Schizosaccharomyces pombe: one gene and its partners. Changing the gene in region 2 together with the main gene of any one other region gives a genetic interaction. Each region holds a gene or a part of one and is shown on either strand. Other genes may lie near its edges. The genes, in order: utr4, rtt106, mib1 and cbs2.

Region 1 (7,031 bases), 560 kb from region 2:
AGATGACTGTAAACTACCGATAAAATGCCATTGGACGTCGTCGGGCATCTATGGCACTGTTAGCCTTGTGAATGGAAATAAACAATGAGAACCACTTATTATCTAACTTAAAAAAGTGTTTTTAAAGATGGTAGGCATCAAAAAATAGATTACCGAAAACACATAATACATTCTAGCACTTACCAACTCTACTTTCTTTAGAAATTCTTGCATGTAATTCTCGCCAAAGTGCCTTTGACCAGCATTGTACGCTTCCATCAAGGTTTCAACAGGATGAAACTTGCTAACAGCTACAAGAAGAACCTAAAAGCCATTAAGGCAATTGTTAGTGATGGATAAAGCAGCAGGCGAAATTGGAAGATTTTTAGGGAATCCCAAAAATGTAAAAGTGAAAATATTCATTTTTTTAGATCTTTTCCTTCACCTCAGCTGACATAAACAACGCTATTTCAGATAAACCCATTTTAATCGAAGATATCTTTGCAACATTTTATTCTCGGCGAAGCATCATTTCCTTAAATATTATAAGCCTAAAAATAAAGTATTATATCGTCGAGTTAAATAAATCTTTCACGAAGCTTATTAGCTGAGCAGTATGACTTTATTCGCCTGGAGATCAGACATCCGAAATTCAATTTTACCAAGTACCCGAAAAAACAACCAAAATCACTCATACAAACTTACATTGCGGCCATTTGCAGATTGCTGGATTTGACTTCTAATTAAATCTAAACAGCTATGGATAGTACTCATGTTGAATGAAAGCTATTACTACTTTCTTAGTCAAATCCACCTGACAGTTAAATTACTCTGCTTAGGTCTCTTAGTTGAAATTGATTTTGAGTGATACAAAATGTGGGATAAAGAGTACTATATGGGGGTATAGCTATAGTCTCTTCTTGACTTTATTAACCTGGAGAAGCTTACAGAGAGTAATTGCTGATCAAAGTGGGAGGAAGAGGTACCAAATGGGGGTAATGATATTATATGTCACAGAAACAAGTAAATAAATAAACATTAATGGCTAAGAAACATTTAAAAAGAAATCACTAATAAAGGATTAATGTTAATTTGGCTACAAAACCGACGAATTGTAACCCATGTTGATTGACAAACCTCTCTTCTTTACAATGAGTACACAGGAGAGGAAAATATTAAACAAGAACGCTCTTTTTCTATTTTATCAAAAAAAAAAAAAAAATTCAGTTCAAATAGTTGATTGAACGAATGGAGAGTTTACAAGAGTGTTTTACTCAATGTTTAGATAATTGATACAAATATTCAATCATGGTAAAAAAGTTTCATAGTTAAAAAAGGTTTCTGAAACAATTCAAAAATCCATTGGGTTAAAAAAATTATAATAATTCAATATATTTTAAGAGAAGAAATTGCGTTGACTAATTTTCGGATGTATTCAAAGAAATCATGAAAAAAAAAACACAAAGAAATAGAAAATGAGAGCACAAGAGAATCAAAATTCTTTTAAAGAACTCATGTCCTTTAAAGAAACTCATTACTTTGTTCTAAGCGAAACGGTCGTTAGGGTTCACCATTGCTTTATTCCGTGAACAAAATTTCAAAACTATTGTACACGGGGAATCCACTGGTGTCTACAACAGGATCATTGCCAGGACGAACCACCAAACCGGTGTGCAACCCGACTTTTCTTGCAGCTTTCAACTCGTTGATATTGTCACTCAAGAAGAGCCATTCTCTAGGATTTGAGTTTCCCACAATTTTCACATAACTGCCACACTCAGTTTTAAGCCCTATAGTAGTATCGTAATATCCAGAGAAATACTTTAGAAGGTTTCCAGCATCTGAATGCTCGAAATACAATTTCTGAGCTGGAACACTCCCACTGGAGTAAATGTAAACACGCATTCCCAATTGCAAACTACGTTGAATAGCAGGAACAACATCGGGGAACAAGTGTGAAGTTAGTTCATTACTTTCATAACCTTTTTTCCAAATACGACCTTGGACCATTTTGAAGGAACGTTCTTTGCTTCCTTCAGCATGCAACTTTCGTAAATTTATCAAGGCCTCTTCAGGCGTTTTTCCAAGTTCTCGCAAGTTTTCATCACTTTCATAATTTTCATTAACATAACTTTCGTATCTTGAAGCAGCGTATGGAAACTAGCATGGGTTAAACACGATCTACATTGTTCTCAATAAAAAACTTCACTTACCAATTTGTCTTTGACAAATGAAATGCTACCCACAGTCCCTTCAATATCCAAGAGCAAATTTTTAACCATTTTTTGTAATAAAGAGATGCCGTACAACTCACTTTTCTTTTAGGACACAAGTTTTATGCAACTTTAAAGAAGTAAGATGTGCAGTAAGTAGGATTAGTACTTTGCGAATTCAGCTATGCATCACGTAAAATAATTTAAGATTACAATTGGAATTTTATTGGATTTTACTTTCTTAAACATATGGAAAAAGAATTTCAACAGCTTGCAGCTTTTTATTGAGAACATGCATTTGAATAATTATCTTATGCATGCCTGTCTTTTAGAATAGAAAATACGGACTAGTTATTTTTTAACCATTTTTTAAATTCATTAATTATTCATAGATTAATCGCGTACAATATATGTTTCTACCAAGATGTCTTTTTTTTGTGGTCAAGATTGATAAGTAGAGCTTATTACGAAACGAATAACATTTTAAGTTAAATAAATCTAAGGGATTTCATACAGACAAAGACTTTCTGTGTACGTTAAAGGAGAAAGGTGTACTAGGAGGATTATCAGGAAGCTCTTTAGCCATATCAACAGCATCAGCAGGTGAGCTCTTATTCATTACAAAAAGACCCTGCAATGAAGCCATACTTGTATTTTTTGGACACACTATATCACTTAAATCGTCAGCCATCTCTGGGGAGTGACCGTAAAAGCGAGTAAACATTTCGCGAACTTGTTCAGGTGTAGCATTTCCAAGATATGCTTTAACGTCAACGCGGCCCGGACGAACGAGAGCTGGATCAAGCTTTTCAGGATGATTAGTTGTCATAAATATAATCCTTTCGTCTGATGAAGTGACACCGTCGAGTGCATTTAACAACCCACTAAATGTAACATTGGCATGAAACCCAACTTCCCCAGATCGTTCCCTACCTTGAAATGCAGAATCAACATCCTCCAGTAAAACTACTGCCTTGGGAGGTACATTAGAAAGTAGATGGTTGAGACGATCGTCAGTTAAGCCTTTTTCAGCCAAGTTTAGAACGCATATGTCGTAGTCCAATTCACCTGCAAGAGCATATAAAAATGAGGTTTTTCCACTTCCAGGAGGTCCATAAAGAAGATAGCCTCTTCTATATGGAATTCCTCTTGTATCATACCATTGTGAATTTCGTAAAAAGTCATGAACGTCGTCTGTAATCATTTTTTTAACATTGCTTTCAAGTACAACACTAGAAAGCATCCTTTTTGATCTAGGGTGCCCGAAAGGCTTCCATTCAGTGGCCCAAGCCGTGTATATAGTAGTCTTGTTTTTTTGAGCACTTTGCATGAATTTTTGAGCTTCTAATAAAAGTTCGGAAAAAATTCCACGATCTCTTGAAAGAGTGGTAAGAGTAATTGTCTCCCAAGGTGTTCCAGTTGTTAAATCTTGCAGACGATTGCTACGCTCTCGTTCTACTTGAATCCAACACTTTTTGTACTTTATGTAATGCTTTCCAGGACCTGGAACGAGGCTGAATATACGATTTGCAACTTGCTTGTCAGGTTTTTCCCTAGCATTTTGCGGCATTTTGAGTTGTCTGTTGCTTTCAACAGCCAGCTGATTTGAATAGCGTTTAGGCACCGTGCTCATCCAATGCAAAAAGGCATTATAACTTTTTTCTTTGCTTGGAATTTCGACAGACACTAGCATCCTTCTTTTTACTAAGCTTGCTCCTGAAATAAGCCCACGACGTAATATGGCTAGCCCAGCACCGAAACCCATTAAACCAATACCAGCACCTAAAAATGAATTTCCACTTAGTAACCCAGAAATGCCAGAAGACGTCGCTGCATCGGCAGCACCTATATTATCCATTTTTAAAGTGGAAAGACGATGAGAAGAAGGGAGGAAAGTTAATATTAATTTAATTCTTCAACGTAACGATAGCGGTTTCTTGCATATAAAGGAAATTTTTGGTATAAATAATTCATAGAAACAATTAAACCTTTATGAATATAATCAATTCTTTACGGAGGACATGTATAACAAAATATTGTAGTAAATCAAATGTCAAAACGCATATGTCAAAATGACCAGTAATTGATAGGTTTCAAACAAAAAAGAAATAAAATGTTCAATGAAGAAATTATATAATCCAATTTTATTGGAATGTTGAGAAAAAATGGAGGAGTTTTTGGTATGAACGAGGTTCTGGGTGAGGTTCATGTAGCCAACAATTTAGTGCTTTGCTAAGAAATTCCAAAAGTCTATGACTTCCGATAGGAGCGAAATAGATATGTTAGAACTAAAGAATAGTATAAAGCTAATTACATGAAACTGTTTTTCACATTGTTAATGTTTGTTTTAAACTTTTAATACCAGCTTGAAAGGTTCTGCTTGAAATAGAGAGAGTAACTTTGCAAAATATTTAACTTTTGACATTGAAATATTTTATGTAAAATGTTGGAAGGATGCATCTTGCTAGTGTTTAATATTTCCAGCCTACATGTGTGTGTTTACTACCCAATTTTTTAGAAATTGTTGCGAGTCTGGAAATCTAAGATCAAAAGTAAAGTATCATATCAAACCTATCCAGTGACAGCAATTGAGTAATTAAGAAAAAATTTCTTCCGAGGTCGCTTGATCTGGACTTTAGAAATGATACAAATGTTAGAGCCTGTAAATAAATTTTTTAATGACTTGATCACATTGATGATGGTAGCATATAATAAATATTCAGAACAAAATAACTGCATATAAATTTGCATTTCACACTAAGATAAGTAATTGATGTAGAACATATACATCCCGATTCTTCATGGCAGAAAAAACGCTTGCAAGTATGTTAGTGATTTGCAATTTTGCACTTGATGAATATAATTAAAAACTAAAGCTGCATCCAAAACATAATTAAATCGAGGCTGATGTATAATATTAATTTTCTTACAGGTATTCGTAAGAGATCGTACTTTGGAAAAAAACTAATGACTTTTAAAATCATTGGGCATACTTTAGTATGAAATTCAAATTGTATTTTGAACTGAGTTGGTGATTATGTATATGCACACTTTCTTTAAAAGATCAAAGATTTTGACAAAGAAAATTCTCTTGGCGAACAAAGAAACATCAACAAAGAACTTGGGAGGAAAGAAATAGTCATTGTTAAAAGCTAAGAAAGGAAAAGTCTTCGAATTTGCCAAAACATTAAGAAATTCTTTATATACTCAAATCAATGTATTTTAACCCACTTGCACTTCTTATACAGGTTTTTCAAGATGCATTTATATTTACATATACTGGTTACCCTGCTATCAATGTTCAACATCATATTCAAGCGTTTTCAAAACCAAAAAAGTTATACTTACAAACCTTGAGTTTTTCATTTCATTTCTTTTTTCTTTCGAGATCAATGAACATACTAAAAAGAATTCATTCAAGCTGAACACCTTCAATGCCTTTCATTGTTTAAAGACTTTATTATATAATTGTACATAATTTAACACAATACAAGCAAGTCCCGAGTGGCTCAATCGGTTTAGAGCGTCTGACTCTTATGATGGTCATCAGAAGGTTGCGAGTTCGAGTCTCGCCTTGGGAGGTTATTTTTTAATGTCTATATCTTACAAGTCCTTCTTATGTTGCAGTAGTGTAAATTACCGTTTTTAACCATCGTGCAACGTGGAACACAAAATTGACTAAATTAGGAAATCCCATTTTCAAAAACTATTATTGACTTCATAAGTTATGAAATGAAAAAGTTTTATACAACAGATCAGATGATGATGAATATTGTGCTAGCGTAATAGCATCTCCACTTTTCATCTTTGGAAACTTTTGCAAAGAAGGGATGTGAAAAATCAGCCTTCAACTTATCCTTTCGTAAGTGCAGCTCCACTCCACCCGGGGGTATAGAAATTACGAAACATCTTGAAAAAACGTCAACGAATGCATCAACAAGATCTTAGCATGTTTCGGATATGTCATGGTAAAGTTCGATTGCTTTGTGCATCTCCGTTAGCAGCTGCATCAAGCGAGTATCCAACGATGATCATCTCGATTCGTTTTGTGTGTTCATGAAACCCACGCCTTGCGTATGAAGTTGCCCACTTTGTATGACAATGAGATAATCTTACACTGCAATAAGGCCATATACCCGTAGTTGTTGGTACGACCACTCACATTCCAAAGTCCAACTCAATAGTGAAGAAATTCATCATTGGCAACAAGTCATCAACACTTCGTTGCTGTTGGACACTTCTACCAAACGTTCTTTATTGACAACTTTGAACGGCTTCGGCTGCATTCCCGAGCCCTGTAACGCCTATCTTTCATGTGGCTCGGAATGTAAACCAGAAACTCAGACAAATACCGCTGTTGGATCGCACTGATGATATTTGTTTATCGAGGCTGTGTTCATTTTTCTTAGTCATTTTAGCGTAACGAACTGACACCGAAAAATATCAAGCAATCAAGTAGATCCATCTGTCCAAGCACCAACCACATCTTTGCTCGATAATCAAACTTGGATTACCGATAGTTAAAGGTGAAGGATCGGTTTTGCTGGTTTCATTCGATTTTCCAAACATCGTCGATTCAGTAGACTGGGGTTGAGTCAGTATCCAAGCCATTCTTGCGCTCAATTGATAATTATGGTAGGTTACCCAAATGTTGTATGCCAACTGTATTACTTACCCGTGGTTATATTTTGAAAACAGCGAAACTGTGTAAACAATTTCTGTTTGTTTCTCAATTGTTTGTGGCGTACACGTATTGCAGCTCTCAAGTTGCTATAGTATATTTTTATTGTCTAATAAAAATTTAATGAATTTATTTAGTTGAAATATTTGCAGTAAGAA
Region 2 (7,304 bases):
AACCATTTTCTTATATGAAATCATGCCTCGTCGGTGCCATGGTAACCTGTTATGAGTCTTTTCTTCTTGCATATGATGAGTGTAATTAAACACCGAAAAATGTGGTCTACCATCTATAACTGATGGTTCAGGAAGATCAATCTCCTTTCCTGCGTAAATTCCTCCATTCTCTTCATTCAAAACAAACGAAGATTCCTTAAAAGCATCACTTTCAAGACTCGTGCTGTTTTTGTTTCCAGAACTCTCCTGCTTTAGTAATTTTGAACTTTTCATTAATTCAGATATCAGAGATGATCGATTCCTTTTGGGAGTCAAATCACCTCTTACTTGGTTGTGCAACTGTGCTTGCACGGCATTTGGTACTGCAAATGGAGACTTCAGAAACGTATCATAATATTCTTTTAGCATGCATTCAAGTATGAAACCGATATCGCTTGGTAAATTGCTCCACGTTGAGAAAAGCAATTTGGCAAACGTTGATCGGTTCTTCTTATATTTGAGCCAATGCTTTTTGTCCTCCTTCGACAAAATACAAACTGAATCTGGAGATATGAGAGGACGAAGTTTCTCGAGAGCATATTTCACAAAAGTTTCCATCGGAACGACATAAGAATTGAGCTTTTTAGAATAGGTTGATTTATGTAAATCAATTAAAATCAATACTATTTTAACAATAATGTCTTCATTTAAAAACCCATAATTACTATTTTGCTTAAGCCAACAAGATGCGAAGACTTGCAAAATAGGAGAGTGTATGTAATCATCCGAGCCATAGTAAAGATCACAGCATAATTTTTGAAAGGAAGCGTAAACATTTAAACTTGAAAAGTCATAGTGTGATATGAATTTTACATACACATTTTCATATTCAGATCCCAAACTAGCAAACCAATCTGTAAAATTGTACGACAATAGCTGCTTCTCTAGCAAATTCCGTAAGCAATTGGATAAATTAATGGGGTCCTTAAACTCTGAATTGTGACATACCTCGAACAATTTCAGTTGAGAACGGTCGTGTAAATTCAAAATAGTTAAAAGTGATCGTGGAACTTTAATTCTTGGATTGTTTTTAAATTCCAAAGAATTGGGAGTTGCTATTTCTTCGGAATTGAGATCACTCTTGCTATCACTTATAAGCAAAAACTCTTCTTTAAACTTTGAAGCGCTCAGACCTTCGTTAGCAAACGTTTCATCTTCATAATCTTGTAGGAACGTTTCCTGAATATCCATAGTTTTGACATCTGGATTCACAAAAACTTTTTCGCCAACCTGCTGACTATTTATGCGTGAATTGCGTAAATTGCGCATCTTGCGAATTTCTTCAGCTGCGTTTTCATGGTGAACTGACTGAGACTTAATCTGACTTTGCAATTGTTGAATATAGCTACGTTCATCATGACTAAGATGCTCTCGGTCATCCAATAGTAATTTTGAAATTGAAACTAGACCTTCGGGGGTTTTGGGTGAAGAAAACCGATTTTCACGCAACATTATTTCGTTTGTAATACCAACCTCCGAAAGCACTGAATAATACGCAACCAACGATTGTTTTAAGCAAGAAATCTGCTTTAGTGGTATTCTTTGGAATCTTGAATAAACTAACGCAAATTGGTGTTCCGCGATGTCTAAAGGGTATTTCCTGAGCAAAAGTTTTGCTAATTTGCAAAAATATAGGCGGTCAGAAAGATTTTCAAGTAAATACATTTTGGGATCAGCATTAGCAAGCTCATTTTTAGTGTTAAGTTTCGATACCTGTATACGACTATTGATTTTGTGTTCAGTAGCGTTCAAAGTTCTTGGATGAGGGTTCAACTCTAAATTTTTTTCCATTTTTATGCTCGGGTGTACATTACCATTTCCAGCTAGACACGCTCTCTCAATTTTTGAAATAACTTTCTCTGATGGATTAACTACCTTAGATATGCTGGAATGGGATGTCGGTTCAACATTGTTTATCGATTGTGGCATGTAAATATTTCCTAGTTGTTTGGCTAGTTGTTTAACATGACCCTTGGGAGGAGCCTCAGATGTCGGTGCCTTTGTTGTAGGAGCCTTTGTTGTAGGAGACTCTGCTGCAGCCAATGCTTGTGGTTGTACTGAATTAGAATCTTGGTTCATTAGTAGCGCAGTCTTTTCCCTTATCACTTGCAAAAACTTCTGAGAAGTTGTCAGAACTGAATCACCGACTGACACTTTTGGTGGTACTTCCATTGAACCATTTTTAGCAGCAAATAGGTTTATAGCTTCCTTTATTCTGTTACATTTTCTGGTGGAAGCCCGATAATTAGGACCTAAATTAAAGGGATTCTCTTCTAAAGCATTTGTAGTATGCCCTTTAGATAAATTTGAAACATAGTCCCTTTTTCTATTTCTCTCCCTAGCTAGCTCGATCCTTGCTCTAACATTTTCCCCGGAATACTTCCCCTGAATCCTCCTCTTAGCAGATAAACTAATTTTTTTTGAAGGAAATATTTCCTGAGGAAAATTGGTAACGACTATCGGAGGCGGCGTTCTTTGGCGCTTTTTAGAAGATGGAAGTTCTTCTTCATAATCTTTCAAATCACGTTTTAATGAGTAAGAACCAGAGGAAGCTCGTACGCCGTTGCCGAACATGGATTGAGAAGGATGAGAGTTTACGGGTTCACTAAATATTCGTTTAGGCTGAAGGCTTAAATCAGAAAGTTCACCATTTGTTCGAGGACGCCGGGTTTTAATAAACGATTCTTTGTTGCTTAACTTGCTTTTAACGTTAAACATATGATTGTTTTCAGCCAAGATTTTCTCAGACTCCACAGAATTGGCATTGGAATTGAGAAAAGAGCGACGATGACTTATAAATTCCTGAATCTGCTTCAAGCGTGTCCTTCTCTGAGAAGATTTGTCTTCTCCAGAAATATTTTCCGTTTTGCTTTTAGCGCCTTCCGTATGCAAATTTTCTTGACAAATTATTCCCTTTGATTCCTCAAGTTTGCAAAAATCGGTTGTAACTTTAGACCGCTTCAACTTCGAAAGCAACGCTGAATGCTTTTGGCCGGAAGTATAGGTAGGCTTTGATTCTCTCACAGGACGACAAGTGATGCGACTATCATTGCACGATTCCAACTTTGCAATTTTTTCCGAAACACTTAAGCTTGTTGGGGAAGATCCTTCTGTTATTCTAAAATCCATTCTACCTTTTTCGTGGATAATTATACAATTGATTAAAAGAAATTAATAGTTATGTCGGAAGAACGCTTAAAAAATACAATATGAATATAGGAATTCTTTCAATCGGTTGATCGCGAAAGCAATTAGGATAATTATGTAAGTTTTGTAAGGACAATTATCAAAATTGTTTCCTTAAATATTTATACAAACCGTCAGTTTTGAGGGAGGTTGAGGGTAAAGGAAAAATAGGCAAAACAAATAGCTTATGTCTTAAAACACCTCATTGCATTAGACCTAGCGAACAAACTATTTGTTTACGTTTGTAAATGTCAACACACGTTGATTACATCGGGAACAACATAAACCAATAAAACGAATTTTAGGATCATTTAATAATTTCTTTGACAAAATCGAAACAATAACAACTTTAAGGGAAACCATATCCGATTATAGGAGCAACAATCTGACCTTCCCAATGCTGAAGAAAGCTAATCAGTTCTACAGCTGAAATTTATCTATAGATCGCAAAAAGAATCAAAGGGAAAATCGATATCGTTTCACAAAATGTTCCCAACTTTTTTGGACTTTTCATACGAAAGTAACTGATACGATAATAGAATGAGTTTTTATCTCATTTATGTAAAATGACTACCTTTGTTGAGTAAAATTGAGCAATTATAAATTAAGCATATTCATATTGATCCATAAAATAAAAATTTGTTGCTAACATAAAGTCAACAGCGAACCGAAGTTTGAACGTAACCACTTGGGATAAAATTTTTATTGGATCGAAATCATTTGCATGATAATGGAAATAGTTGCTATTACATTTGTTACTGTTAGCTGAGGTGTGGTGTGCTGTCGAAGCCCTTGTTTAAGACTCAATAAATTCTAGCCGGCAGCCATCTCTAATGGAGTCCAACGTGAACGATGAAATAGAAAAGGCATTTGCCAAAGATTCTGAGTTAGCAAAAGATATAATCAAACAATATGGTAAGGTTTGAGTACATGCTTTTTTCCTTAGTCTAATGAAATTAGGGAAAACAAAAAGTATACAGCCTCTAGTGCATCGAATTTGCAAGTACATCAATACATTGCAAAAGGAAAACGAATCAGGCCAAGTGAAGGAGGCTGGAAGTTTAAAACGAAAGGATCGTGTTCAACATGAGTTAGGTCAATTGGTCTATGGAGTACTTAATCTATCGTTTCAGGCACCTATGCGAAAAAAGCTAGACGTCTACATTTATGAAAATGGAATAGCAGTAACATTACCAGGCGAACCCAATTTAATTGAATTTTGGCTTCCCTGGAATGAAATTCGTTGTGCAATCCATGTCCCATGTCCAAGGAAAGCTAATGTTCAAAACAACTTTGTGATCATCCTTAAAAGTGAATCGTCGGCAGAAAATATTGTTTCAAGTGATAATGTAAAAGAACCTGTCTTTTTTACGGCACCGTATCCTTTGAAAAAGCTCAACCTCGTTGAAGGTTTACGATCCTTCACCCACTGCACGAACTCATGGGATATTTTTCGCGATTACTTTGAGTTTATTGGCACTAGTACTTTGTCTCCTTCTGTCGAAGAATTTGTTTGTCCAAACCCGCAAACGGGGGACAATGGCACGACATATGGGGTTGAAGCAAACTATAAAGCTAAAGATGGTATGCAAAGGATGAATTCTGTGTCAAAATTGCTAATCAAATAGGGCATTTATTTTTTCTGCGTACTGGCATACTATGGGGCTTCCGTAAACCTATACTTTTCATTGAACTAGCTAGCATCCAGCATTTTTCCTATAGTAATGTTTTGCAACGAACATTTACAGTTAATTTTGAAGCTGGTGGTACAATATATTCATTCGATATGGTTGATCAAAGTGTCTTTAGAGCAGTAAATGATTACGCGACAAAGCATGGACTAATGGACTCCAGTCTTGCTGAAGAAAAAGCTGCACCAGTCCCTAAAAATCCATCTGTTTCATATTTGAATGAGGCATCATCTCTTGAAAATGTTGATGATATGGATGATATTGATGTTAAAGAACCTTTATTCTCTGATAACGACGAGGATGTCGAAAACAGCGACAGCGAGGACGGTAGCGAATCTATCGGTTCAGAGGACGAAGAATAGAAAGTTGAATGTACATAAATTTTTTTCTGTTTTATTTATTACCAGTTTGTTTTAATTTAAGGATTTAAATAAATTTAAAGTCTTCTAGCAAAAGGTTATCTGTGAGCTATCCAAATTTGTTTTAGACTCAAGTTATACACAAAGTTGTCGCAGGATACATTTTTTGTTGATAGTTTAAAAAGTGTGGATCTGGACTTTGTGTGCTAATCAATAGATTTACGCTCCCACTTGTTTGAGTTTTCTCAAAAATTACCCGACCAACATGTAAATATTTTCTATAATACTAATTTATGAAAATTCCTAATTACCTTATTCGATCTGCCGCTCTTAAAAAAGGTATATAATGTAAATAGCGGTTATTTAAAGTTCCTGATGTTCATTTTAACAGAAGGGTAGCTGAGTTTAAGCAAGAATTACCTGAACTGCCCATAATTTAATTCACAATTAGCATAAATCTTTAAAAACTCTTTCACGAGATTTTTTAATTATTTTTTTCAAAAAAAAAGACGACTATAAGTAACTAATTGTTTAATTTTTTACATTAGTTTTTTTCTTTGTCAATAAATTACTAAAATCTTTTTCTGAATGTAAGAAATTAAATAATTTAACAATATATCAACTCATCGACTGTTATTGAAGGATCTTCTTCTTAAAAAGAAAGAAAATTAATTTAAGACAATAGAAATGTTTTTGATTGATATTAATGATTAGCTCTTCTAAAATGCTGTTGCAATTTATCTAATCATTATTTATTTACATTTTAGTTAAAAAGCTATGTTCATAACGTACGGTAAAAAAAATAGGTGACACTTACGCAGTTCAGTGTCTTTTTTAACGATACGTAAAACCCGGTGATAATTCTTGTGACCTATTATATTATAATAAGTAGGTTAATAAGCGCTGACCAATGTAGGTATTATATATATGGGTCAAACTGTTACCTGTCACTAAATAGTGCTTATTACTGTACCTCGTTTCTCAGTTAAGTTGTAACTCTATTTATAATCTTACTGATAATTTTTCTAGAAAAATATCCTAGTAAATAAGAGGATAATGTCCGCAATGATCAATACGCGGATCTAACTGGTATTCTAATATATGACATATAGTGATGAATACCCTAATGTAATATAGCGTAGTGTAGTATTGCTTGCACAATAAAACTTTATACCCCCATGCGTTATTAAAATTAAAGAGGCATAACAGAAATTATTTCCAACAAATTTTCGAATCCTATAATGCTAATTCAATCCTAGAGCAAAATGCCAAAAAAAAGAAAAACGCGTGGTAAAAAGCACTCTGCCAAACAAAAGGAGGAAGAAGTTAATTCAGTTGTTTCTCCCGGTATTGCAAAAAACGATGAAGGCGCTGGAAATGATGAAGGTGCATATCAGGTAAACCGTTACACGAATGAACCAGTGCAACCGTTTTTTGGTGCTTTGGACCCCGAAGAAGAAAAATACTTCCAACAAGCTGAACAGGCTTTTGCCAATCATTTTACAAGAGAAAACGAAGATACCAGGTTTTTTGTCGACAGCATTTATCGTGAGGTGCAAGGCAAAGAGCTAATTGTCTGCAACAATGTGTTCGGATCGAAGGTTCTTGAAAAGCTTTTCCCTTTATCAACGAGTAGACAAATCAAATCGTTTTTTTCTGCATTGAATGGTCATTATGTGGAGCTAATTCAGACAACGTTTGGCTCTTATGCTTTCGAAAAGCTGTTGAGTCACATGGCTGCCATTCTAAATTTGGAAACCCAAGGTGTTACAGAGGATCAAGATGATGTTTTGGAAGGTGAAAATGAAAATGTCTTCATGACAGCAGAAACTTTACTTATGTACATGTACAATGAAATACGCCCAGAGGTTTCTATGCTAATGAGCCATAAGTTGGCTGTTCATGTATTGGGCAAAATTTTCCTTTTGCTTGATGGATATCGATTCGTGTATCATGATGGAAACAGAACCACTATGGAGTCTATTTCTGTTCCCGAATCCTTTCCCCAGTTTGCTTATTCCATAATTGA
Region 3 (8,391 bases), on a different chromosome or scaffold from region 2:
AACTCGGGTTTTGAGAAAACGCGCCCTGGATAACGTTCCATTATGTACATGAACTTTTCTGCCGCAAATTTACCATATAAATCAATTAGAGGCCCAACAACAATTAATTGAATGTTGAACTTTTCTAAGAGGGTTGGCGCGAGATCAGCTAAAATATCAATACCTTTTTGCACTGACCATCTACCTACAAATACCAGAAGATCCGCTTCATCATCGATTGTCAAACCGGCCCATTCTTGTGCCTTTCTCTTGTTTTCCTTCCTTACCGAAGCATATTCTGCAAAGTCAGGAAGTTGTTGATTCACAGGATTAACACTCAAACCGATGTCGGTAGGATCAGGGTTAGGCAATTGTCCAATTTTTTTGAGACTCCAAAAAACTGGATATCGAACCCATGAGCGTTGGCCATATTTGTTAGAAACACCAACTACTCCGTAACCGGACTGATGACGACGAACATAAGAAACACCGCAATGCATCAGGTTGAAAGCATTACCGAATTGAATGTATTCTCTGCAAATGGTTTTGGAAACATTGAATAAACCACAAACCTCTCTTTCATCAATACTGGACTGTAAAGGCCACAAACCTTGGAATTCGGCATTATGGAGTGAAATTGCACAAGGGATGACCTCTGGAAGATTATAAATTGGAGCAAGTGCACCATGATAATCATTAATATGATAGATATCAACCTTTTCACGACGTATTATAGCAGCAATGGACTGATTCCAAACACTGTAAAAAATGGCTGAAGATATATCATCCATACGAGGAGGATAAGGATCGTGTGATGTCCGCTTTCTGAATATGGGAGAGTCGAGAAGAACATATTTGATGTTGTCTTTATAATGATAGAAAACTTTCACTTCATAGTCTTGGTTAACCACTTTAACTACCAAAGATGGAGCAGTTTCAGCCACTGGATATGTGATATCTCCCACACAAGGAACGACCCAAACCAAATCATACTGCTTTAATGTCTTACTCATTAATTCAGCCATCACTCCTAAACCTCCAATTTTAATTTTTATATTCCATTCCGGAATGTTATATTCGAGTGTTGCGAAAAGAATGCACGTCCTTTTACATGAATGTCTAATCATTACAGGCTCATCATTATCATTCAAAGTCAGAAGATTTGCGCTATCCGTACGAAGTAATTCATCCTTAGACCTTTTCAACCAGCTATCCTTCTTCTTAGAACGACCGGACTTATTGAATTTTATGACACAGTATTTCTTCTTGTAAATGTAAACAGTAAGGATTCCTGTAATAATAGGAACGATTGAAAAAGTAATAAACAAAGCAAAAGTAACCTCGCGTAGACCGCGCAACTCTAGTAAAAAGTAACGGCCAAGGTTATCGAACATAATAGACCAACCGACATGATTCACTTCAGGTGCTTCTTCAATCCAAATAGATTGCCCAAACAATTCATAGGGTGTAAAGCGATAAAGATGGGATGATCCATAAGAGTTTTGAAGGGCTTTAAGGGCAGAATAGGCCGCTCGAGAATTTAAATCATCTAGTTTACCATTGTCGCTCATCAAATCACCATTAGAATTTCCACTTTCAACATACGCTTCAACGTTTGGAAAGAAAGAATCGAAATTTTCCTGAAGTGGACGATGCAAGATATCAACAGTAAGGTTGTAATCTTCAGCAAAGTCTTCATCGATTATAAACCTTGGTCTTACTGGAGCAAAAGAATCAACACTTTCTAATGAAAAAGAAGAGTTCAAATTCTCTGCCTCATCCAAAACCGATAGCCATTGAGCCGAAGACAGTACAATCCATCCGAACAAAAATTGAAAGAGAAAGCTCTTTTTCTTTATATTCATCCTGATTTTCTATCAAAATTTCCAAAAGAGGAAATGTGCCTAAGACACAAATAGCAACCCGGCTAGATGAGAACAAGTTCGACAGTAAGTCACCCTTGAAGCAAGCTATTATCTTTTTTGCCAAAGCAAAAGAAATATAAATTTACTTGTGTTAGTAAAGGAAAGGGTTATGCTCTGGGAAGACGGTGATCAATCGTTGTAATATTTATACTCAAAAATGCCAAAACATAAACAAACAAAAAAATGTGATAGGAGCTAATTTAGCGAAAATGTAAACAATGATTGTTTAATAAAGACGTATCATTTAAGACAAAATTTTGTGTTCTTGTGGATGTTAATACATGTTTAATATGATTATATGAGAGCATACCTCGACTAGGCAAAAAAACACCTTGCTTGTCACGGAGAACAACACGATGCCGCTGCTGATGAAAAGTATAAACAATTTCCAATTCTTTTTCATTGTCAGAAAATAATGGATATATTCCGATAATTGACGACTAAATCAACAGTTAGCAATCAAAACAAAAATGAAATGTTAAGCGACATAGTTTTACCTTTGAAACACTAGAAGGGATAGCTAAACGAGAGTTTTCAACTAAAGCAGCAATTGATATAGTCACATCTTGCTTTAAATCAGGTTCGTTTGCACCGCAATTAACGACTCGGTACTCGGCATACTCAATAACCAGACCGCCTTTCTCCATTTCCAATTTCTGTTTTTTCTCTACAATTTCCTTCATCAATTTAACAGCTCGAATTGCAGAAACTTTCTTGCGTTCTTGAGAATCCTTAAGTTTTTGTAATCGTAATAAGCGCAGTCTTTTCTGATTGGAAAGTCGCCTGGGACGGAGGAAAAATTGCTCAACTCCAAGTATAGAAGTAATCGGAAATACGAGACCCCAAAAGACTGCAGAACGATCAAACACACTACACCACATAATAGGAAGAGAAATCTTTTGACCAAGGCGTGACCAACTAAAAAAATTAGTATTTGTAGTTGAGAAGAAATCGAGAAATGAACATACTTAAGACTAAACGTAATAGAGCCAGTTGGGACACCAACTGAAATATTTACTCCAAAGGTTGAATAACGGCCAACTTTACGACTCGTATCACCGGAAACCTGAAGACCTCCTACTGTACTCATCGAAGTCCCGAGTTTGATTTGATATGGTGAGTCCTCAGTTGCATTTTTTAAATTATAGTTGTAAGCAATACCGCTATACATTAAACCAGCAGTAACTTCAGCGTTCCAACTGAGTTGAGGGACCAAACTATTTGGAATAGCTTTCATTTGCTGCCAAGTAAGTGAAAATGAGGAATTCGCTCCACGAGGGGAAGCAATTCCCCAAGAACCAAGTGACCACACACCAGTTTTCCAGCGTGCTGTAAGAGTACCAAAGCGAGTGATTTGTCGTCCGATGACTACGGTGGCTTGCGGGGGACGCTTTAGACCCGATATTTGAATAAGAGGGACAATAAAAGTTTGGTTATTGATAGCGTACACTGACTTGACGGTAATTAAACCTGGCCTCAAAAGAGAAAATCCAATTTCAGAACTAAGGTTAGGAGAGGGCTGAGAATGATAAACGGCAAAAATGGAAGGTTGAAGCTTTGAGTTTTGTCTCATTGATGCTTCAGTGACTATAGATAAACGAGAGGATGTTTTATGGTTGCCTTCATCTTCATCTGAAGGCGCGGAAAATTCATCATCAAAAGAGCCTGAGGAAAAAGAATTGAAAGACGGCTTTTTGAGGTCATTGGAAAACGATGTTGGAATAGAGAAAGAGCTTTTAATTTGAAAAGATACCCACTGGATTAAGGAAAATCGTTCATAAGGGGTCAGCATTCTAGTACCAGCACCTAAACCAAGAGCATTCTGAACTCGAATATTTCTGGCAAACAAGGGGGTCATATTGACCACTATCGTAGTCTCAGAACGACTCTGCACCAAAGAATCGATTTCATGGATATCTCTTTCCTGAATTTGCTCCCTTATTTTGTTTTTAAGCTCTTCAGCTGATTTCCCTGGAAATCCAACATTCCAATCTGTTTTCAATCCTTGTTCTCCAAAATTGTCATAAATCTCTTTTTTTGATGGATCAGATAATACTTCGTAAGCATGTTGTATAATTTGAAACTTTTCCTCAGCTGCTGCCTTCTGGTCAGCAGTGTGACGATCAGGATGAAACAGTCTTGATAGTCTGTAATATGATTCTTTTATTTGGTCACTTGTAGCCTAGAGTTTAAAGGAAATGTTAATAAAATATGCATTCCCAAATGAGATTATTTATACTTACATCTTTGGGAAGTCCAAGAGCCAAATAAAGCTCCCAAGAATCCGCTTCATCCATGACTAATCTTTTATTTTAAAATAAATTACTTCAAATTATCTTAATTTACGTGTAAATTTTCAGAAACCACAGATTAGAGTATGGATCGTGCAGACATATGTATGATCAAGGTATGTGCTCACTATAAGTGACCAAGGTAATGTAAAGTTTGATGTAGGTTGTAGGATTAGAGTGAGCTATAGCAGTATTTTAATATAGGAACTTTTAAATAATAAAACTTTATATGATCAAATTATCTTGGCTTTGATGCCATTTCGAAAAGCATGAGTTTACTAGTTAAACTAATTGTGCTCGGGAGCAGCTTTTTGTATAATTGCCAAACCCATGCGTATTTCATTTTACACAGTTTGCAAACTATGAAATTCTAAGACAAACTTAAAATAATAAGTCTCGAATTTGAATAATGCTAAATTGGCTTTAGATATTATGTTTAATGATTTACAAAAAGTGGAGATGGTATAAAATAATGGATTGCATACTAAAGATATCAGCTTAATGAATTGATATGTAGTCATAACTTTCATTCTTAATTTCAAAACAAATAAGCGAATGAAGCTTTTCATGACTAATGACATTTTTCGTTTGATAAATAATACTGTTGAGGGATTTTATTATCAGATGACACCATTTGACTTAGATATAAAGTATTACTGACAGGAATTTTTCAATTTACTTGAAATGTCTTATACTTGATTCTCAAAAACGTACTAATGCACTTTTAAATGCGAAACCAATTCAGCGTACAAAACCAACTATTAGATTAAGGAAGCACTAAAATTGAGAATGGTGAACTAGAAAAAGCTTTGTGATATATAAAAAATCTAAAAAGTTTCAAGAATAAAGTACCAAGGGCAGTGCAGCTATCATTAAAGCGAATGGAACAAGTTAAAAAACAAGTTTCTATTACTACCAACGAGATGTCAAATGTCTCTTAAGCTTATAATTAAAACAAGAATACCTAATTTCGTTTGCCATTTTACAAATAGCGTCTTTGGTTTTTGACTCGCTTACCCATAGCTTAAAATAAGCTCAGCAGGAAACGAATTTCTATAGGTATAGGAACTAGCATTGTATGAATAAACCATATTACTTATAGTAGTCCTTGGCTAGTTACACGAAAGTTGTATATGTTTATGTTATATTATAATAAGCAATTATTGATGAGGATAGTTCATAGGATACATAATACAAACCTCTGTTTGATGCTATGGATTTGATATTAGTTTAACGGGATCGGTCTTTCAGTATTTAGTATTATTCTCTGCGCTACTCTATTTAGAGTCTTAATCAACATCCTACATTTTTATCCTCGCTTTATCTGCTCTTTTACTAACACAGAAATTTGAATTTAAGCATCAGTTTTTATTTAGCGCGAACCGGTATACGATTTAGTGAAGCGCTATAAATTTAGCATATTCGTGAAGCTCAGAGGTTGTCGTCGTTATTGTTGATTAAGCACCTCATCTATTTGCTAAACGGGTTAAATAAAATGTGATGGCAGCCGGATTCGAACGCTGATATATTAGATTGTTTACCTACGCCTAGTATTTTGTTGCTACCAGCGTATCCATCCTTCAACAAACTACACCGCTAAACAGGTTTTACAATCTTTTGCAAGAAAACGAAGGTTTCTAAGGAGACTAGCGTCAATTCGGACGTACATTTGAAAAATTTTAACGTGGTCCCTTCATTCGACGTAAAGTCGGCTCTTGCACTTCCGCTTTCTTTCTTCATAGATTTTTGTTTATTCAATACTGGTACTGCATTGATAATTTCTTGACCCACAATTTCCACTCCTTTATTATTAGTATTTTATTGTCATTCTTTTTGGTGGGATTTGGCTCATATCATTAACTTTTACAAAACATAATTTTTTTTGTGCTCTCCCAAACTTCTTTCTTTTAGTCGTCTTGGCTTAAATACCCCTTGATACCTTTTTTTAGCATGTTTGGTGTTTATTTTGTTCTCCTATTTCTTTCAAGCGCCCTCATTCATGTTGCTAATGCTGGTAGTAATGCTGAGTGGCGCAAACGTATTATTTATCAAATTTTGACGGATCGTTTCGCGGTTGATGATGGAAGCACGGATAATCCATGTGATCCGGATGCAAACCAGTATTGTGGTGGTACCTGGAAGGGTATCGAGAACAAACTGGATTACATCGAGGATATGGGTTTCAATGCGATTTGGATATCTCCCATTGATAAAAATATTGAAGGAGATATCGACGGTGCTGGTTATGCTTATCACGGCTATTGGAACACTGATTATGAGTCCCTCAATGAACACTTTGGTACAGAAGATGATTTAGTTAGCCTTATTACTGCTGCTCATAAAGCGGGTATCTGGGTAATGTTGGATAGTATCGTCAATTCTATGGCACTTGCTCCTCCGCTAGCAGATGCTGACTATTCATCTCTTAATCCTTTTAACAAGGAGAGCTACTTCCATCCGTACTGTCTTATTGATTGGGATATCACAGATAATGAGACGAACGTAATGGATTGTTGGCAAGATTCTGGTGTATTGTTGGCCGATTTGGATGTCGAAAGTTCAGACGTTTCTTCCTATTTGAGTGATCATTTCAAAAGTCTTATTTCTAAATACGATTTTGATGGACTGCGTATTGATGCTGTGAAAATGATGAACTACACATTCTTTCCTGATTTCGTTGATGCTACGGGTGTTTACAGCGTTGGTGAAGTTTTCTCTTATGATCCTGATACTATGTGTAGTTACATGAGTGTCCTTCCTGGAGTTACCAATTACTTTTTGCAGTTGTACATAAACTTCTCTTTTACTGCTACTGGTGCTGGATTCACTCTTATTCCCACTTACCAGGAGGTAATGGCTTCAAACTGTTCAAAATATGATAGTACTTTAATGTTGACTTTTATCGAAAATCACGATTTGTACAGATTTCCTTATTACACAAGTGACCAGTCACAGATTATGGGGGCTTTGTCATTTGTGTTGATTTGGGACGGCATACCCTCAATTTTCTACGGACAAGAACAGGGATTCAATGGTGGTGAGGATCCTGCTAATCGTCCTGCACTTTGGCTTACTGATTACGATCAATCAAACCCGTACTATACCGTTATTAAAACGATGGTTGCATTTAGAAAGTTTGTCATTACTCAGGATCCGGATTGGGTCACTTCCACATATCAATCGATCGAATCTGCTGTTGATCACTATGTTGGACAAAAAAATGATGTTCTCGTCATGTTCAATAATATGGGAGTTACCAACAACCTTACAATTTATGAAGTTGAGACGAATTACACTGCCAATGAAGTAGTCTCTGATGTCTTCGGTCACAGAACTTTAACCGTTGGTGCCGATAAAACCTTGACTGCCAGTATGACCAACGGATATCCCTTGATTATGTATCCACATTCGAAGATGTCTGGTTTTACATTACCAACTGTCAATCGTACAGTCATGCCATCTACATCGGCAACTGCCACAACCACTGTCTATACCTCTTATTACTCTCCTTCTTATTCTGCCAGATCATTTACTGGTACTGGTAGTATATTTACGATCTCTTCATCATCTAGACTTATCCTTTCTTTCAAGACTTTAGTTTTTGGCTTGGGTGTTACCGCAATGCTCTTTGTTTTATTCTTCTAGAATGCCCAAATAACCGCGTTAATTTTTAAAATTTTAACAATTTGCGTTTTTTTCGTCAAGGAAGGTCATTTTTTGGGTTGAATCTAATAACCATATAATGAGAATGAGTTAATTTATGCCTACAGCTTATTCTTGTTCTGATGCTTTAATCTCTCACTTGTTATTATTTGTCTTTGTAAACCTTTTTTTATCATACATATCTTTTAAACTGGCATATCTATTGTCTTGGAGCAGAAATGAAAAAAATTATCTGCCTAGTGGAATAGTCAATGAAAAGTAATATTGCATTTTTTAACAACCAAATGAAAAAGTACAGTTCTTATGCGTAGTTTCGCTTTACATCAAAAACATTTGCTTACATTGGTAAGTAAAAATAAAAAAATTTATCGAGTAGACATGTTGTTAGTATATTAAGGTGTAGGTCATCCAATATCACCATAAGCTCATAAAATTTGTACTTAAACTTATATTCTTTTCTAACGCTTTCATTTAAATTTAATAGTTTTTTGATGGAAAAGTCACATAATTGCAGGTGTTACTTAACATTGGTT
Region 4 (7,460 bases), 560 kb from region 2:
ACATCTAGTAAGCCATTTTCACGGAGTACGAGGAATTGTAGAGTTGCAGAATGCCGTTTCAATGTTTAAAAGTTTAAAACAAAATATTGATTTCATACCATTTTCATCCATCTTATAAAAATACTTTTTTTAAACACCGCGGGTTCACACGCGTCTATTTTCATTATACGTTACGCGCTACACGAAATAGAAAAAAATGAAGTTTTGATAAAAATATCTTCAAAAACACATTTTTTGAAATATTTTTCTGTGCGAATACGACTTTCTATGTAAAATCCCGATTGATTAATTCAAATTCCTACGACACAAGGGTACCTGAAATCAACATTTATGATATTGTAGAGCTAATATAATATACCTTCCTATGAATGTTTTTGCTATAAAATTTTGTTGTAAGAGTGTCTAATGCTTTGAAGGTAGAAGGGGGCTTATTGTTTACCTTGATCGAGGGGGCTTCATCGACGCGTTACCACCATACCACTACCAGTTGCACTTACCTTCGACCAAATTCTCAAAATGGCAGTTATCCCTATTGAAGAGCGTAAATTTCCTAAGACCCTAGTTTTATTTGACGTTGATGGAACGCTCACTCCTGCACGTTTGGTAAGTTTAGATTATTGCAGTCGAGCTTTCTTGGATTCAATCTGAATAGCCGGCTTGTATCAAATTTCCTATTTTCCAATCACATTCTCTATGGTCATCACCATTATTTAATCAGAGATGGCTTGAAAGGAAGTTTTAATTATCCAAAATATTTCGGGAGCAAGCTATTCATGCTCTATGACCTAGTTTATTTCTCTTTCCATTTTGTAATAACAAGACTAACATTTTAAAGAGTGTCTCCCCTGAAATGCTCGAAACTTTGCAAAATCTTCGCAAGGTTGTCGCTATCGGCTTCGTAGGCGGTAGTGATTTGAGCAAGCAACAAGAGCAACTGAGTGTCAACGGTGAAAACGTAATTGATTCTTTTGATTATGCGTTTGCTGAAAACGGATTAACTGCTTATCGTTATGGACAGCAATTAGCTAGTCAGTCATTCATCGCCTGGTTGGGAGAAGAAAAATACCAAAAACTGGTTAATTTCTGCTTACATTACATTGCTGATCTGGATATTCCCGTGAAGCGTGGTACTTTCATTGAATTCCGCAACGGTATGATCAACATATCTCCTGTAGGACGCAATGCCAATACTGAGGAACGCAATGAATTTGAACGTTTTGATAAGGGTCGTAAAATTCGCGCTACCATGGTCGATGTTCTTCGCGAAAAATTCAAGGATTATGGATTGACATTTTCCATTGGAGGTCAAATCTCTTTTGATGTGTTCCCTGCTGGTTGGGATAAGACATATTGCTTGCAACACGTAGAGAAAGAGGGATTTGATACAATTCACTTTTTTGGAGACAAGACATACAAAGGCGGCAATGATTATGAAATTTTTGTCGACCCTCGTACTATCGGACATTCTGTTACTAATCCTGACGATACCATTGCTGAACTCAAGAAAATTTTTAACATATAGATGAGTTTGTAGTGTGTTGATTAGATATGCGTCCCTCTCTTATCATTACGGAAAAGGTTAGCTTTCTTAGTTGTAAATAACTACTTCATATGCTCGGCGAGTGTGAAGTTTCTTGCACACAATTGATCTGTCATTTAACTCGTACATCTTCCATAATTATTGGTAGCATGGAATGCGAAGAACATTAAATTATTGTAATCTACTGCCAACGCAGCTTTTAATACTCATACCTGAACAATATGCATATATGAAAGAATATTTACAAGAAAATTACACTTACGATCGGTTAATTGATGCATTCCTAGAAAAATGCGAACTTAGTAGCTAATGAAAGGCATGTGTTAGTTATTTAATTAGATAGGCATTAGCATAATGGTACAAGTCACATCATATTATATAGACAGAAGTTGTAATAACCGAATTAATACTTTTTGAAATAAAAGAAGCCTCATTCGAGTACACTGAATTAGATACCACCTCGAGCTGCCATGCAAAAAAAAAGAAACAACTCAACGGTTTAACTTCAAATATCATGAGACTTGGCAATGTTTTCAACAGATTATGAATGCATTCAGGCTGAAGCGCACGAGAATCAAATTATACGGCAGATTCAAAATTATCAGTTTGTTCGGGAACGCCGGGCGTAGTCGTTTTATCGTATATTATGTAATTTAAAATATCAGCCAAAGATAAAATACCTTCGAGCTTCAAGTTTTCATCAACCACGAAAAGACGATGAACCCTGGAATGCTTAATAGCATCAAAAATACCATCCAAACGATCAGTAGCTCGACAAGTGTGGACGCCATCAAAGTTAGCTGGTCTTTTCAATAAAGCCTCGCCTACGCTCAAGTCTAAATTACTATAATCACCATCTTGTATAAGATGCATTACATCCACCGATTCATAGACATTTAGCAGGGTACCTGCTCAGTTAATATATAAATTATTCACAGAAAAAATTCAAAACATCTCACAAACCTTCAGAATTAACGATTGGGACGGCAGATATATTCTTTTCGGCAAGCATTTTAATAACATCATAGACTTTCGTTTCCATAGACGCGGTAGCTAAATTTGACCATGTCCCAATTGTCATTTGGTTTAATGGTACCCGTAGCATTGCGGTTTCTTTGCACTAAATTTGAAATTAGTAAATATAAAAACATAACACGATTTACGAACATTCATGGAGATAAATTTCAAAATTCGATATTGTGTCAAAACAGATACAATCATTTCGCTGCCTGTCTCGCCATCTACGTCAATTAAAGGAATTCTTCTAGCACGGCTCTTTGACATGGCTAAGCAAGCATCCATAAGACTATGCATTGGATGAACATATATAGTTTCCGGAGGAATGGCGCCAATCTTTCTTTCCACTTCACGAAGTCCCAACAATCGAAATTTGTCAATCTCAGCTATAGCCTCGGGAAATGAAGAGCTTTGGTAATAATACTTAATAACATTGACGAAATCCGCCATCGTTAAAAGGCCCGCAAACTTATTCGCTTCACTGTCCCATAAAGGAGCACTGACGATATCTAAGACGTGATTAATAAGTTGATTTCACATCTGTAATGAAAAATCTTTCGTACTGTTTAATGTAAGAAGAGAAAGTGATGTTTTTACAAAAAGCGTAACATCGAACACGATTAAACGGAAGGACGTAGGCAAAACATCGTAACTTGTACGCGAGCGTATAAATGCTTGAATTTCTTTCTGTACATCACATAGATTAATAATTATTTCTATTTAATAAAAAATCTATTCCATATCACTTACGAGTGCTCCTTTTTGGGTCTCTTGAACGTCTGTCATGACCTCGTCAAAGGATATATGGTGTGGTTGGTAAAAGAGACTAGATAAATGAGCGAGGGGAATGGTAACCCGCACAAGGGCAACAAATCGAGGTGTTAAGTAATTAGTTGCAAATAGTACAATGCCTAAATTATGCGTATTTGTTAGTGCTTTTAAATGATATATTTCACTTAGGGGAATATTGTAGCTAAACTCGTTGATTTAAACTGCTTATATAGTTTACTATTTAAACGTAACAATATACATTGACAAAATTAAATGCAACTAGTCTATTAACTCAATGATAAGATTGATTAAAAGGCTTAACAATTAAGCATAAATTTAATCCAATAGTCGTCCGCTACAAAAATAACATCGTCGAGCAAAAATTTCCCAAATCTTTAGTACTAACAGTAAACTATAGTTTCGACTGTAACAAAGTTTCAATGGCTACCGGGTCGTCTAGTGTCGCCATAACAAAAGTTTGGCTATTCCTCGTAAAGGACTTGAATTATCAACTTCGATAAAAAGCAAAAAAATACACTAAATTAATGGTAAAATACCAAATTTCAAACCATATCCTTACTTACTAAATTATTTCGGCCTGTTAATATATAAATAGATTCATGAATTTTAGCACACACGTTTTAAAACATCGATACCTCAATCTTCCATTCAACCAAATACAAAATCGATAAAAAAACACTAATTTCAATTTGAACATGATTATAAGCTAGCATAATTAATTATTATCAGAACAAAAACCCCTGTTCTAATCCTAATGAAATTTTGTGAAAACTAATTCACAAAACTATAAAATTTAGACATGATATCATGTTCCCAGTTAGAAACTCCCTTATAAGAACCCAAATTTGCATTTAGAACTTCTCAGAAACAAGACCGTCCTTGAAGAAGATCATGTAGGGAGTAATACCATCCTCACGGTAGTTCATTAAGACAACCATTGCGTCGGGATCCATGCTCTCACCAATGTAAAAGTCGTAGTCCTTGAAGTTAGCCAAAATCTTCTTGACGAATCCAATGGCATTCTTCTCGAAAACAGGAACACGCTCGGGGTTGCTTTCTTGAAGACGAGCCTTGATAGCCTTCATGTAACCCTTGATGTAAGACATATAGGACTTCTTGTCAAAAGAAGTAGGGCTTAAACGGAAAGAGTAAACAAGATTGTTTACAGTCTCAGTACCCTCTTCAGCATTCTCCTCAGCATCCTCGGCAGAAGGGTTGGCACCAATGTCAACATCACCACCTTGCTTGACAGTGACCATTTGGCAATCAGCCTCGTAGACAATATCGTCTACCTCCTTCAAGTCGTAGGCGTCAGAAACGAGTTCGTCTCCAGAAATAACGTCCTTGTACAACAACATGGTGATTGCAGATGGTAGCTCATAATTTGACTTCTCGCAGGTTTAATGAGATAAAGCAGTCACAGTTTAGGGCAGGGTTACTGGATTCTAGCCATCCGTATGGAATGCGGTTACGAACAGTATTCACTTTACGTAGTACAGCGTTGTTTTCGATAGATACATTTTGTTTACCAATTCCTTCATTTTTTTCAATTTGTCGTAGTCTGTTCTCCTTTCTTTTAAATAACAATATTCTTTATATTTTCAGATTTTTTTTTAGATGAAAATATCGTTGTACTCAGTCAGTAGTAAATTGTTTTATATTACTGAATCTGATTTTTTGAGTGAAACCATTATGATGCGTGTAAAATTAAGATTAAAGCTGGAATTAAAGTCCAAATGAATTCAACAATTGAACCATATTTAACAGTATGTGTATTAATCTCTATGTTCTTTAATCAACTTGTAACCATTTATGTCGCCTCAAATTTATTATTCGAGCTATTATCCGTCAATTCTTGAGTCGTAATTAGAACATTCTCAACAGTACTGAGCTTCAGAAGAAACCTAAAAAAGTAGTGCATTATAGTTGATAATAATTCCTTAACGTTTATATATGATATACTTAAAAGTATGATATCGTACATCCTCAATTTGAAATTGCAGGGCCATTAAAAACACTCGTTAATAAAGATATTCAGTTCAATTAGAAAAAAATGACAAGGTACATTTTGGTGACAAACAAAGAGTAACTTAATGTTTTCCGTTGATTAAATTTTCGATCAATATCCCAAAATTTAAAACGCTTTAATGGAATGGATTAACGATTAAAATCGACTTCATTTCTAAAACCTTTCAAGCTTTAAACCGATTCAGTCCCTTCATTTAGAATGGCATATTTCGATTTTTGCTGAAAAAACCAAGACGACTGTTACCACTTTTGTTTACTACTTTACTCACATAGACATTCGAGAAAACGAAAAATAGTTGAGCACGAATAGAATTACATGAAAAAAGTAACTTCTATTTAAATTTAAAAAGCTCATTCGTAACTAAGCTCTTTTATTGTGCAAAGAGAGGATTAGTTTTCTAGTTTGTACAATTGCGCTGAAAAGACCAAGAACTCCAATTTGGTGTTTGTGTAAACCAGCTCCATTTTCTACAGACCAGTGAATACACAAAGGAAGGCTAGCCAAGTTTGAAGCTAAGTCTAACTGATGCTCCTTTTCGTCTTCTGTTTTTTCACGCAAAAGCTGGTAAATGGTCAATAAAGTATCGAGAAGCCAAAATCTAGAAGACCAAAGCCATAATTTGTCTTCCAACGGTTTTGATATGGAAATAATCTGTTTGCCGCCTAAGAATGCCAATCCTTCTGTGACATAGTATCCAATATTGATTGCGTTACTCATGTAAGTTTCAGGAGAAGAATCTTTACGAAAATTTACGATTAATTTGTAGAGACCAGGAAGACGTAAAATACATCGAAATTCATTTAGCATAGAAACCAGTTGAGCAGTTGATTTCGAAGATGCTGGATCCAACCTCGCAACGTTGACAAGAATGGCAGCAATTTTGTCAATTCCGCTGGGATTTTGCAGCATCAGGTTTAAAGAATGCATATAAGACATATTTCTCAAAAAATTTCAGCTCTAAGATTTGGTCAATTATATTGTTCACGAAAGGTAGTCTAATTTTCGTATACTTTAGTAGAAAAGCGTAAAATCCAAAAAAATACTAAGTAGCGTATGTAAACGACTAAAATTACCAAATCCAAAGATTATTTGAATGACGATAGATGTCGGTTCGGCAACGTCTTATGGTATAGAGAGTGAGTGTGCTGCTATAGTCGATCGGATCAGCAAACGTTAGCTAGTCTGTTTAGTACACCAATAGATTTGATAAGAAAAATCTACAGTGCAGCAAAGTGAAATGTTATTTTATGAGTTGATCGATTTTACTTTTAGAATTACAAATGATAAGATATGATAACTTTCTCCAGTTATCACGTCGATTAGATCGCCGGAAATAACTCCGATATTGAGGAAAGTGTATTCAGTTGCAACAAACAGCTGTGACGGCTTCAAAGTATCGGCAAATCATTTTTTGCATGTGTTTTAAAAAAATAGTTCAGCAATAAAAAACATAAATTTGTTAGGCTTCTAGAGGCATATGCTTATTTATGTGTTATTTTTTTAATATTTATCATAACGTATTTTTTATTACAAATCCTTAGGTAGCAATATCTTAAGAATTAAACATACATATGTTCAAGGATAAAAGAAAGAAAAACTTGGAAACTGGGTTTATTTTTTCTATTCCTTTGTTCAGATACATATAAAACAGCTTAGTTACTATGGATTATTATCATATAGAATTATGATAACTGTTTAAAATAAATATTATTTGGAATAACGAGATTTGTTTAGGTCGGCTTGAGATACGCACAGCTACGTAAGATTGTAGATAACAAACTTTGAAAACCTTCGCATTCAGTGGCCTGGGGAGCATGCAGACTACACTTCCTATTCTTCCTTTGCAAAAACCTTCTCTTCTTACTACATTAGTATATTTTTCATAGGGAGGTGCTATATGCACTGTATTCATAGTTACGCTCTGCTTACAGTGAGCAAAGTATTTCTTTGGACGCTAAAAAAAGGCTCCTGTATATTGATTTGAGTAAATATTTTGGCATAGAAAAACACATTCAACGCTACTTAATTGTTTTTTCCATTTCGAACTACTATTGAGAGGAAGTTGTTTTTTCAATTGTTTTA

The links.
Region 1: mutations in rtt106 (region 2) and utr4 together harm fitness more than expected from each alone (negative genetic interaction), as found in Schizosaccharomyces pombe (one large-scale study listed by BioGRID).
Region 3: mutations in rtt106 (region 2) and mib1 together harm fitness more than expected from each alone (negative genetic interaction), as found in Schizosaccharomyces pombe (one large-scale study listed by BioGRID).
Region 4: mutations in rtt106 (region 2) and cbs2 together harm fitness more than expected from each alone (negative genetic interaction), as found in Schizosaccharomyces pombe (one large-scale study listed by BioGRID).

The regions. Positions count from the first base shown.
Region 1 is NC_003424.3:2,683,425-2,690,455, reverse strand, and holds utr4 (methionine salvage haloacid dehalogenase-like hydrolase), read right to left. Parts: upstream 2,347-7,031; 5' UTR 2,262-2,346; coding exon 2,193-2,261; exon of another isoform or gene 2,140-2,192; coding exon 1,558-2,139; 3' UTR 1,286-1,557; downstream 1-1,285. Other genes in the region: SPOM_SPAC644.09 (pyridoxal phosphate homeostasis protein), read right to left, coding at 1-48, 184-303, 685-753; bcs1 (iron-sulfur protein assembly ATPase), read right to left, coding at 2,701-4,050. UniProt on the Schizosaccharomyces pombe protein: Bifunctional enzyme that catalyzes the enolization of 2,3-diketo-5-methylthiopentyl-1-phosphate (DK-MTP-1-P) into the intermediate 2-hydroxy-3-keto-5-methylthiopentenyl-1-phosphate (HK-MTPenyl-1-P), which is then dephosphorylated to form the acireductone 1,2-dihydroxy-3-keto-5-methylthiopentene (DHK-MTPene).
Region 2 is NC_003424.3:3,244,462-3,251,765, reverse strand, and holds rtt106 (histone H3.3 H4 heterotetramer chaperone Rtt106), read left to right. Parts: upstream 1-4,047; 5' UTR 4,048-4,058; coding exon 4,059-4,140; intron 4,141-4,185; coding exon 4,186-4,809; exon of another isoform or gene 4,810-4,853; coding exon 4,854-5,278; 3' UTR 5,279-5,581; downstream 5,582-7,304. Other genes in the region: ArfGEF Spo7, read right to left, coding at 1-3,168; RNA-binding protein Nop9, read left to right, coding at 6,541-7,304. UniProt on the Schizosaccharomyces pombe protein: Has a role in meiosis.
Region 3 is NC_003421.2:833,415-841,805, reverse strand, and holds mib1 (DNAJC11 family protein), read right to left. Parts: upstream 4,322-8,391; 5' UTR 4,202-4,321; coding exon 4,148-4,201; intron 4,087-4,147; coding exon 2,873-4,086; exon of another isoform or gene 2,823-2,872; coding exon 2,402-2,822; exon of another isoform or gene 2,345-2,401; coding exon 2,215-2,344; exon of another isoform or gene 2,212-2,214; intron 2,169-2,211; coding exon 2,149-2,168; 3' UTR 1,845-2,148; downstream 1-1,844. Other genes in the region: spore wall alpha-1,4-glucan synthase, meiotic Mok14, read right to left, coding at 1-1,844; aah3 (GPI-anchored glycosyl hydrolase family 13 protein), read left to right, coding at 6,146-7,840.
Region 4 is NC_003424.3:3,805,328-3,812,787, forward strand, and holds cbs2 (protein kinase activator), read right to left. Parts: upstream 3,376-7,460; 5' UTR 3,344-3,375; coding exon 3,308-3,343; intron 3,245-3,307; coding exon 3,121-3,244; exon of another isoform or gene 3,067-3,120; coding exon 2,708-3,066; intron 2,661-2,707; coding exon 2,504-2,660; intron 2,449-2,503; coding exon 2,120-2,448; 3' UTR 1,805-2,119; downstream 1-1,804. Other genes in the region: phosphomannomutase Pmm1, read left to right, coding at 517-603, 836-1,522; tma19 (translationally-controlled tumor protein), read right to left, coding at 4,201-4,707; SPOM_SPAC1F12.04C (uncharacterized protein), read right to left, coding at 5,739-6,314.